Linked DNA regions of Cricetulus griseus. The protein of the gene in region 2 purifies or fractionates together with the protein of the main gene of each other region. This does not show direct contact. Links are inferred from orthologs where the notes say so. Each region holds a gene or a part of one and is shown on either strand. Other genes may lie near its edges. The genes, in order: Vps33a, Plekhm1 and Vps39.

Evidence for each region.
Region 1: the proteins of Plekhm1 (region 2) and Vps33a purify together in Homo sapiens (affinity purification with western blotting; 3 studies listed by BioGRID and IntAct, with this or other methods). This does not show direct contact. The link is inferred for Cricetulus griseus from reciprocal best matches to the Homo sapiens genes PLEKHM1 and VPS33A.
Region 3: the proteins of Plekhm1 (region 2) and Vps39 purify together in Homo sapiens (co-immunoprecipitation; 3 studies listed by BioGRID and IntAct, with this or other methods). This does not show direct contact. The link is inferred for Cricetulus griseus from reciprocal best matches to the Homo sapiens genes PLEKHM1 and VPS39.

What each region holds. Positions count from the first base shown.
Region 1 is NC_048597.1:103,299,538-103,303,187, reverse strand, and holds part of Vps33a (vacuolar protein sorting-associated protein 33A), read left to right. Parts: intron 1-1,976; coding exon 1,977-2,103; intron 2,104-3,602; coding exon 3,603-3,650.
Region 2 is NC_048600.1:114,753,040-114,756,689, forward strand, and holds part of Plekhm1 (pleckstrin homology domain-containing family M member 1), read left to right. Parts: intron 1-1,209; coding exon 1,210-1,836; intron 1,837-3,650. UniProt on the Homo sapiens protein: Acts as a multivalent adapter protein that regulates Rab7-dependent and HOPS complex-dependent fusion events in the endolysosomal system and couples autophagic and the endocytic trafficking pathways.
Region 3 is NC_048599.1:58,177,961-58,181,610, forward strand, and holds part of Vps39 (vam6/Vps39-like protein), read left to right. Parts: intron 1-754; coding exon 755-904; intron 905-1,023; coding exon 1,024-1,158; intron 1,159-1,550; coding exon 1,551-1,642; intron 1,643-2,115; coding exon of another isoform or gene 2,116-2,173; exon of another isoform or gene 2,174-2,211; intron 2,212-3,141; coding exon 3,142-3,217; 3' UTR 3,218-3,650. UniProt on the Homo sapiens protein: Regulator of TGF-beta/activin signaling, inhibiting SMAD3- and activating SMAD2-dependent transcription.

The DNA.
Region 1 (3,650 bases), on a different chromosome or scaffold from region 2:
TCTCCAGCCCGAATTTTTTGGTTTTTTTTTTTTTCTTTTTTTTTTGTCTCACTATGTAGCCCTGGCCCAGAACTCTTAAAGGAAAATAGTGAGATTTTGTAATTAAACCATTATATTTCTATAAGAGCAAATATCTTTCATATGGTGAAGACACTGCAGTTCATAGTATGAAGTAGTGCTGAGTCTGAGTCTCGGTGTTTGGGCAGCATTTGAGGCTGGAATGGTATGAGGACCCATACCCTCAAAGGCTCCATGTTGTGTTCATGGCCAAGGCTTCAGTAAGCACTGCCAGAAACGTGTTTCAGTTCATTTGTGGACAATGCATGTTCAGAAATTAACTTTTTGTGACCCCCATGTTCATTTACACAGTCTTGTATGGACTGTGACCCACACTTTAGGAGCTGGGCTAGGGCTGGAGAGATGGCTCAGCAATGGAGAGTGCTGTTCTTGCAGAGTTTAATTCCCAGCACTCACACTGAGTGGCTCAAATTCCAGAGCATCTAAGGCCCCCTTTCGGCCTTACATGGACACACCCACACATAGACACACACACACAAGTACACATAATTAAAAATAAATCTTTTTTCAAAAGAAGCTGTACTATAGTACATCTGTCTCATTCTAATACCTGCATATTCAAGAGGACCTAAGGGTTTCTTTCTTTAAAAATTTATTTATTTATTTACTTTTCTAGTACTAGGGATTAAACCCAGGGCCTTGATGATGCTGGACAGTGCTGTACCCTGGAGCTGCATCGCCAGCCTAGGCTTTCATCATTTTAAAACTTTTCCTCAGACCTGTAACAGCAGTCCTGTATTAAAGGTTCCTGTTCTTTTAGGAAATGTGAGAGCATGGGTGTTGACGTTTTCCTAAATGAGTTCCCATGACCTTCTCTTCTACCCTCTCCTCCTCCCTAGAGAATGCCAGCTGTACTCGACATGGACATGGAGTGTGCAGCTCCAGGGGAGCACTTGAGGTCTGGCCAGCATGGCAGTGGCCGGGAAGCCCACATGTGCGATAATGATAATGAGATCAAAATCCCCAGCCGCCCACAGCTTCATTACCACCTCCTGCCTCCCCTGGTCTTTAACCAGTTTGTTCTTGTTGAGCTGGTTTTGAAATGTGGGGATTCAGTAGACTTACGAAATGTCTGTTTAGACTCTAGAGACAGAAACAGGGAGAGTTCTTGAAAACTGCTTTTTGCTTTTGTTGTTGTGTTCCTGGTGTTACCTTTCTTAGGGATTCTACCTGTGGATTAGCTCCATATTCCTGTAGATTGTTTTGGATGATGTTATTAAAACATTCTTATTGGGGCTGGAGAGATGACTCAGAGGTTAAGAGCACTGACTGCTTTTCCAGAGGATCAGGGTTCAATTCCCAGCAACCACATGGTGGCTCATAACTGTCTGTAACTCCAGTTCCAGGGGACCCAACACCCATGGCAAAACCCCAATGCACCTAAAATATAAATAAATAAATAAATAAATAAATAAATAAATAAATAAATAAACAAACCGTTCTTGTCAATAGTCGAGGTTCACTGTATTCATGGGCTGCATTCACTGTTGAGATCTAATGCCAGGTGGGATTTGTTTCTGTTAAATAGAAAATTTTTTGCTGTTTGCTTTTGGTTTTTGAAATGGTCCCATGGCTAAAGATGACCTTAAACTTCTGATCCTTCTGTCTTCCGAGTGCTGGGGTTATAAGTCTGCTCTGGCTTGCCTGACCTAGACGTCTTCTGCTGTTTGTGGCTCCCTTTTGTGTAGCACTTTGTGTGTGTGTGTGTGTGTGTGTGTGTGTGTGTGTGTGTGTGTCCTGGGAGGGAGCTGCACCATGCCACTGTGCTTACCTTATCTGTGACTTCAGAGCTGGGTTTAACTTGCTTTGCATTTTCCCTTTCGTGATGATACTGACGGAACACCCTCTGGGATGCTCTCCTGCCTCATGGCGCTGCCGCCTGTTGTGTTCTGTTGCAGGAGAGGCACAACGCCAAGACAGTGGGGGAGATTAAGCAGTTCGTTTCCCAGCTGCCCCACATGCAGGCCGCCAGGGGCTCCCTCGCCAACCACACCTCAATTGCAGAATTAATCAAAGATGTCACCAGTAAGTACCCTTTGTTGTGGCTCTTCCCACCTGGGACTGGCTTGTGTATACATCATCCAACACCCTGATCGTCAGCACCTTGGTCCTTCCTTGGGAAGGCTCGCTGTGTTTGATCTATTTGTTTTATTATCTTAGTGCTAGGGTTCAAAGCAGGGCTTGTTGGTGTGAAGCAGTGTGAAGCAAGTGCCTGACCACTGAGCCACCCGCAGTCAGTTCCATTTTAGCGTCACGCATATGTCACAGGAGAAGTAAGTGTATGACTTTTTAAGGTAGTGGGCCCCGGTTCAGGTCCCAGCACCCCAGCTGGTGGCTCACAGCTGCCTATAACTCCTTCCAGGGATCCCACTGACCTCTGAGGGTACCTGCACTCATATGCACATACCCATGCACAGACACACCCAGGCGCACACAAAAAATCTCTAAAAAATGATTTATTAATCATGAGTTAAAGTACCTGAAATATGGATAAGAAAAAAGCATTCATCCAGAAGATTGCCCCAGTAATGATATGAAGCAGTTCATGTTTTCCTTATGTTTTCCTATGTGAAGGATTATTTAATTAGAACAGTATGCTGTCCTGGGGTGGTGCTGGGACTCTAGCTTTGGTCCCCTGAGCAGGGTACCCGTAATCCTAGCACTTGGAAGGCTGAGACAGGAAGACAATACATTCAAGGACAGCTTGAGCACATTGTGAGACTCGTAGACAAGAAAGAAAAGAGCCTGGGAATGTAGCTCGGTCAGTAGTGTACTTACCCACCCTGGTGGCGTGTGCTGTAACATCAGCACTGGGGCTGTTGCAGGCAGGAGGATCCCAAGCTCAGGGTCATTTTCAGTTCATAATGAGTTCAGGACCAGCCTGGGCTACACTAAACCTTCCCTCAAAAAACTAACTAAGCCAGTGCACATGCATTTAATCCCAGCAGTCAAGAGGCAGGCAGACTTCTGTTTTCAAGGCCAGCCTGATCTGCAGAGTGAGTTCCAGGACAGCCAGGGCTACACAGAGAAACCCTGTCTTAAAAAACAAAACAAAACAAAAACTTCCTACAGAATTGTCACAAAGAGCCTCATGAGATATGTATTAAATCCTGACTCAAGTCCATCTGACTGAAGTAGAAGCTGAGGCATGTGTTGAGCACTGAATGGTGTTTGTTCAGGACCAAGTGTTAACAAATATGCTTTGAATCTTAGTTCAGGGTTGGAAAAGTAGTCCTTTGTCTGCTGGTGACAAAGGTCAGAGTCAGATGACAGGAGGCTTGTCCTGGGGACATGAGTGCTCACTGACACTGAGACTCCTGCCCAGTGGCATCTGAAGCAAAGGACCTTGAAGGAGCAGTGAGCGTTGAGTACCACTCAGCGCTTTGGTTTCCTGGTTGCTCCAAGTCTCCACCTTTTTGGTTTAGTGTGCCTTGTTTGCTAATCCTGCTTATGACCAGAAGCATAGCACTCAAACCAGCTGACACTGGAATTTCTAAGTCAAAAATTTTCTGATTACATTTTAGCGTCTGAAGACTTCTTTGATAAGTTAACAGTGGAGCAGGAGTTCATGT
Region 2 (3,650 bases):
TGTTCTAGTGTAGGCAGTGTGTGAGGTAGGGCTGGAGGCAGCCTTATAGAAAAGCTTATCTCCAGACCTTGAGACACTCCACACTCATTAAGAGCCTGTGGCTGCTCCTCACCCCGGCACTGTTGACCTTTGACTACGGTAGGCTGAGTCATGTATTACATTGTGAGGCTTGAAAAGACCAAAATGTTCTCTGGTCCTTTTAACAGGACCAGGGTTTGCTGACCTTGCCTTTGACTAATTTTTCTATCATCTAAATTTAATTTAAAAAAATTTTTGTGTATGAGTGTTTCCCCACTCATACATTCATATCTATACATACCATGTATGTGCCTGGTGCAGGGCACACACGCCAAAAGAGGGTGCCAGATCCCCTGGGACTGGAGCTAGAGGTGACCAAGCCACCATGTGGGTGTTGGGAATCAGACTTGGGTCCCTGCAAAAGTAGCCAGTGCTGTTAACCAGTGAGCCATTTCTCCATTTCTTGTTTTAAACTTTATACTCATACTGAATTGTGTCAGGCATTTAGCTAAGAAGCCAAATAGTGGCTGAATATTCACCCCAAGCTCTAACAGCTAAGTGTGGGACCCTTTGTCCTACATAGTCTGATCAATTGATTGTCAGGGCCCCATCTATTATTGCCTGGCTTTGTGACCTAACCAGCCACCCTCCACCTGTTGTAATGGGAGCTCTCCCAGTCTCCTGATAGGTCTGCTACTTTTCTGCCCATTGTGTCTTTTTCTCTAATAGTCCATTGTGCTGAAAATTTATCCTTTTTTTTTTTTTTTTTTTTTTCTGGAAAGTCTTCAGGGCCTAACCGAGACACCGTCCTTTCTAACCAGAAGTGATGGCCCCACCTCTCACTCCACCAATGATAGGACTGACCTTTATGTATTTCTTTCAGTGGCAGTTACCTGGGGCTGAGAGCATAGCTCAGTAGCGGAATGCTTGCCTAGCATATGCAAGGCCCTGGGTTTATTCCCCAGGAATTAGGGGTTGGGAGTTTAACAAATGTGTTGAGTTGGTAGATGTATCTGGTAGCTATGGCTCAACAGCTCAGTTTTTCTGTATTCCCTGAGATGGAATCTGTTGTGCTTAGGTATGTTTGTGTTTGCAGTACTTAATTACTGGTTCTTGCTAAGCAGTGGCTTGAACCACATCTCTGAGATTTGAGGTTGTTTCTTGAAACACATCTGCTCTGTCCTCCTCTAGACACATCGTCTCAGAGTTGGAGCATCTGGTCTTCATCAATACAGACGTAGGCCGCTGCCGGGCCTGGCTGCGGCTGGCCCTCAATGATGGTCTGATGGAGTGCTATCTGAAATTGCTCCTGCAGGAACCCACACGGTTGTGCGAGTACTATCAGCCCACGGCCCTGCTGCGAGATGCCGAAGAGGGCGAGTTTCTCCTGAGCTTCCTGCAAGGACTAACGTCCTTGTCCTTTGAACTCTCCTACAAGTCGGCCATCTTAAATGAATGGACACTCACCCCATTGTCTCTCTCTGGGCTTTGCCCCCTCTCTGAGCTTGACCCTCTCACTACCTCTGGGGCAGAATTACAACGGAAGGAGTCTCTGGATTCAATTTCCCATTCCTCAGGCTCTGAGGACATTGAAGTCCAGCACTCTGGCCATAAGATCCGCAGGAACAGGAAGCTCACTGCCTCTTCCCTCAGCCTGGATACAGCCAGTTCATCCCAGCTATCCTGCAGCCTAAACTCTGACAGCTGTCTGCTCCAAGAGAATGGCTCTAGGAGTCCAGACCGTTCTGAGGAACCCATGTCCTACGACTCAGATCTGGGCCCAGTGAATGCTGATGACTCTGACAGGTCTCTGCAAGAGTGAGTATCCTCCTCCAACCTTTGCTCTGCCTTCCTGTACAAATGATTGTCACTGTACTCTGGTGGTATATGAAGAAGTCAAAGGAGACAAGGGGCTTACTGTAACTGAGGAAATAGCTCAGTGGGGAGAACAAATTGCTTTGTTTTTTGAAATGGCTTCCCTCTGTAGTCTAGGCTATAGTACCTGGTTCTCCTGAGTGCTGGCATTAGAGGTGTGAGCATCACTCTCACCTGGAGAATAGATTTAGTACTCAGAGTTGGCCTGAGTCTTTGGCCTTTCTGAGGTCCACATAAAATATGAGTTTTCCATCTAGAGGGAAGGAACTTGTAGTTCAGAGTGCATATACAACTTCCAGCAAATATGGTGAAGTAGAGGGCATAGACTGTGACCTTTCATAACACCTGACAGACACAAAACCTGAGACAAATGGGGATCAGTGAGTGTATAGAGTATGTAAACAGACTCTCTTAACTCACTTTGCCAAAGGGGAGCATGAGGCTGAACTCCGCTCCATCTGCAGTTCTCAGTTGTCTGCATAAAGCTGCATCACCAGCCCTAGCCCTTTCTCTTCACACCCCCACACTCCCATGCAGTGCTGGGAGTTAAACCAGGGCCTTACATGAGCCACACAAGTTCTCTACCCCTGAACCACATTCCCAAGCCCCAATGCTTTTGGGTTTTATTTGATTTTGTTTATTTTGGTAAGACAGGGTCTCATACAGTAGCCCAGGCTGGCCCTGAACTCTTTGATCCTCTGCTTCCACCTCCTGAGTGCATATGCTTCCAAGTTCCTAAATGTATCTGTAGCAGAAACAGTGTGTTTTTATGTTATTATTTTTAATTTTCTTCCTGTTTCTTTGATTTCCTACAAAAGATAGCATATGTATATTGCTGGTGTGTCAGAGCCTCTTCATTCTCTTCTTATGTCTATTGTTCCACTCAGTAGACATTGAGTTCAGTCAACTCCTAGAAGCACTGATTTGTAGTTTCCACAACTGCTGTCTATTAACACTGTCAGGAATGTCCCCGTGATCTCTCAGTCTTACCAGTGGAAAGTATTGTCAGGGTTGTGGGTATTTGGTAGTTGTTTTGTTCCATAAAACTCATGTCTAGGACCTTTTCATTACTACTGTGCACCCTACATCCTTGGTTCAGGTCCTTCCAGGTTGCCACCTGGTATAGGATGGAATCAAACCCAGTGATATGTGGGCAGGGCTCACAGAAAACCTAGTTTCCAGGCCTACTCCAATCAAATTGCTGCTGACTCTTCTGAACCATTTCTCCATCTTTAAAATGAGATTTCTCACAGATCTGAGAGTCAAATCATTGTCTGTTCAGTGAGTGTACGCAAGGAGGTGCCAACATGATTGCCCCATGCTATGGCTAAGGGGAAGGTTTTTATTGTAAATAAAAGAGAATATCCAGAGGTATCTGGAAGAATTCAGAGCTGAGAGAGAAAGAAATAGACTGAACAAAGCCAGCAGACTGGACATAGCCAGGTCTACCTGTGAGAGAAGGGAGAATAATCAGACATAGAGAACAGAGAAAGCATAGTGAGAACAGCAGCAGCAGGGGTGGGGATGGGGCGGGGCACTTGTCCTTATGGAGAACAAATGGGCATCGGGAGGTGAGAAGGTCTAGGACGCTCTGTGGACTTTGGAATGTGTAATGTGTACTTTGATGCCGAGGGAGCCTGGAGGCCAGTGTGTGCTCTGATATGCAACTTCAAGTACATGTCCATGGAGCCATAGGTCCTTCTGCTGGAGGTCAGGGAAATGACTCCTTTTGGTAGATGCAAACTGGTTTTACAAGT
Region 3 (3,650 bases), on a different chromosome or scaffold from region 2:
CCTGATTAGTAATAGCACCCTGTCCCTCTCAAGAGTTCTGATTTATGTATTAAATTAATGTGGATTGGCCCATCTCGGGGAAAGGGTCTGATTATACATCAATTTGTCAGTACCACAAAACCTTTGTGATTGGTGTGACTGGGAGTTGGGTGGGAATCTGGGGGTATAGGCCAGAGATGCTGCCAAATGATGCAGTATAGAAGTGTCTTTGTTAAGAGTGCTAGGATGCGGGCTGGAGAGATGACTCAGAGGTTAAGAACACTGAATGCTCTCCCAGAGGACCTGGGTTTGATTCCCAGCACCCACATGGCAGTTCACAACTGTCTGTAGTTCCAGTTCCGTGGCAAAATACCAATGCTCATAAAAAATAAAAATTAAAAAAAAAAAAAAGAGTGCTAAGAGTGCTAGGATGGAGTGACCCAGTGCCACTAGAACCAGTCAGAAACATGGCCAGGCTCTCAGCCTCCAAAGCATAAGAAAATGAAGAATCTTTAGGTTATTTAGCAGTGTTAACTTTCTGTGAATGGTATAACGTTAAACAGATACAAGGCATTCATAGAAAAAGCAATAATTGGCATCCTCATTTGGCTGTTTGACTTTGCCAAAAAATTAAGGGGAAGGTGATGGATTTGGAGTGCTCCATGCCAGTGGTTGTTATTGACCAGCCCTCTCTAATCATCAGGGAAGCTCAGGGCTGGGGGTCCTAGGAAGGTTGCTGTTAACCCTGACATGCATGTTTGTATCTATGAAACAGGTATATCTGTCCCTGCTTCGGATGTACCTGTCACCCCCCAGCATCCACTGCCTGGGACCAATCAAACTGGAGCTACTGGAGCCACAGGCCAACCTCCAGGCTGCCCTGCAGGTCCTAGAGCTGCACTACAGCAAATTAGATACCACCAAGGTCAGGGGCCTGCCGATAGAGCAGGAGTGAGAAGAGGGCTGGGGAAGGGGATAGGCACAAGCTTTTCTTGGTCTCACTCCTGATCTTCCTAACCCATCTCCATCCTGTCACTGCCCCAGGCGATCAACCTTCTACCAGCAAACACTCAGATCAATGACATACGCATCTTTTTAGAAAAGGTCTTGGAAGAAAATGCACAGAAGAAACGGTTCAATCAAGTGCTCAAGAACCTTCTCCATGCCGAGTTCCTGAGAGTATGGGCCTTCCACACTTGTTGTGGGTCTTTGGGGTTTGTTTGGTTGGCTGGATGGTTGGTTGGTTGGGTTTTTTGAGACAGGGTTTCTCTGAGTGGCTGTCCTGAAACTCACTGTGTAGACCAGGCTATCCTTGAATTCACAGAGATCCACTTGTCTTTGTCTCCTGAGTTCTGGAATTAAAGGCCTGCACCACCATGCTCAGTGGGCTTTGAGTTTTAATTGAGACACTTTTCACATAATTGTTGTCATCAAGGAAGCACATAGCTCAGGTGATCTGGAAGTCAGAATGGCGTTTAGTAGAATCTATGGAAGCTGAAGAAGACACAAACAATGCCAACTTCTACTTCCGTTTCTACACCTTGACATGGAACTTCTCCCATCTCTTCCAGGTTCAGGAAGAACGGATTTTACACCAGCAGGTGAAGTGCATCATCACCGAGGAGAAGGTGTGCATGGTGTGCAAGAAGAAGATTGGGAACAGGTGAGCCCCTCCCGAGCAGCGTCTGGAGCAGATGGGTCCCGGAGAGTAGAGGTGTGGGGTAGATCTCTGCCCTGAGTTTCTTACCCTGTTGCCACAAAGGCAGCTTGAGGGAGGTTTATTCTGGCAGATCAAGGCAGGAGCTTGAGGCAGCTGGTTACATTGCATTCCGCAGCCAAGAAACTGAGAGCAGGGCCAGGCATGGTGGCGCACGCCTTCAATCCCGGTGCTCCGAAGGCAGAGGCAGGTGGATCTCTGTGAGTTCGAGACCAGCCTGGTCTACAGAGTGAGTTCCAGGACAGCCAGGACTGTTTCACAGAGAAACCCTGTCTTGAAAAACCAGAGAGAGAGAGAGAGAGAGAGAGAGAGAGAGAGAGAGAGAGAGAGAGAGAGAGAGAGAGAGAGAGAGAATGAGCAAGCGAGAGCGAGCAGTGAATGCTTCCTATTGCTCAGCTCTTCCTCTCCATTCTTCACAGTCCCTACCAAGGGAATAGTCCTACCCACAATCAAGATTGGTCTTCCCACATCGGTTAATGAAATCAAGATAATCCCCCACAGGAATGTCAGAGGCCCAGCTCCCAGGTGATTCTAGATTCTGTCACATGGACAGCACTGACCTCACACCCACCACAGATAGAAGCTGTCTTGTGTTATTGAGTTCTTGAGCTTTGAGAGAGCAAGCCATATTATCTGTTGGGGGGAATCTTCGATAGTTTAAAGAGCTGACATGGCACAGAGCTGTTGAACTCTGGCCCAGAAAGCTCTGTTCCTCAGGCAGCTAAAATGAACAGGAGCCAGAGAGTCAGCAGTAGGAGTTTAAGAGACATACAGAAAGTCTTGAGATGCGGGCTGGCTGGATAGCTCAGGCTAATTTGAAATTCTGATCATCCCTCCTGCCTCAGCCACACCCCAGTGCCAGGACTATAGGCCTGTACCCAGGTAGACAGGATGAGCGGCCCGAGGGAGAAAACCTGCTGTCTCATGACTGGAGCAACCTCCTGAGCTATTGTATTCTACAACAATCATTATTCTGTGTTAGGACATGCCTGAGAGTCAGCCCCCTGGCCTGGAAGGAGCAGAAGCTGCCTCTTCTTACTCAGCTAGAAGAGTTCTTTCTTTGCAGAGGCCTGACTTGCTGTCATTCATTACAACTAGCCCAAAACATGTTCCATTGAACATCATCCTCCAGTGCCAAGCTTTCTGTTTGCCCATTTATTTACCTGGCTGGCTGGTTGGTTGGTTAGTTGATAGCACTACTGAGGGTCACACTACCACTGACCCAAACCCCCAACCCTGAACTGATAGAGTAACAAAAATGTTTTAATGCACTTGAATGTTGTATAGTTCATGCTCTGGCTGTTTGGAAAGGAGGCACCACAGCATTCCAGAGATATTGGAGTAGGCTGTTCTTTGGGGTTTGGGTGGCTGCTGGTGCTGGTGCCTCTTGCAGGTGCTAGAGGAGACTATTCTATCACTCACCTCTAAACTATTCTTCCACACAGTGCATTTGCAAGATACCCAAATGGAGTGGTTGTGCACTACTTCTGTTCCAAAGAGGTCAACCCAGCCGACACCTGAGCACAGAATCCTAAGGACTCAGCAGTGGATAGCTCAACTTTCCCAGAGAGTTGAAGGAGCAGCCACATTAGGAACCAGGGACCTCTACCACCAAGTCTCCTCATTTGGACGTCACTGGCTTCCTTGCTCCCTGGATCATCTCTGAATTAACTGGATTTGTGACCTGGCATTGCTGGCTTTTTCCTAGAAAAAGATTAGTTATATCTTACACTGTTATGTTGCAGACGATCCCAGGAATTTAACCCCTCCTTGGACAGGAGGAAATGCACCGTCTTGCCTTTGTATGCCAGTCACCTGGACAAGATTTCATCTCAAGTGTTTGTACCCATGGGGTTGTTGACTGAGAGTTTTCTATTATGATATTTGCACAGCTTCACAAGACCCTCACCCTCAGCATGGCAGCCTGGAGAGTCCCATGGGAGCCTGGTACCAG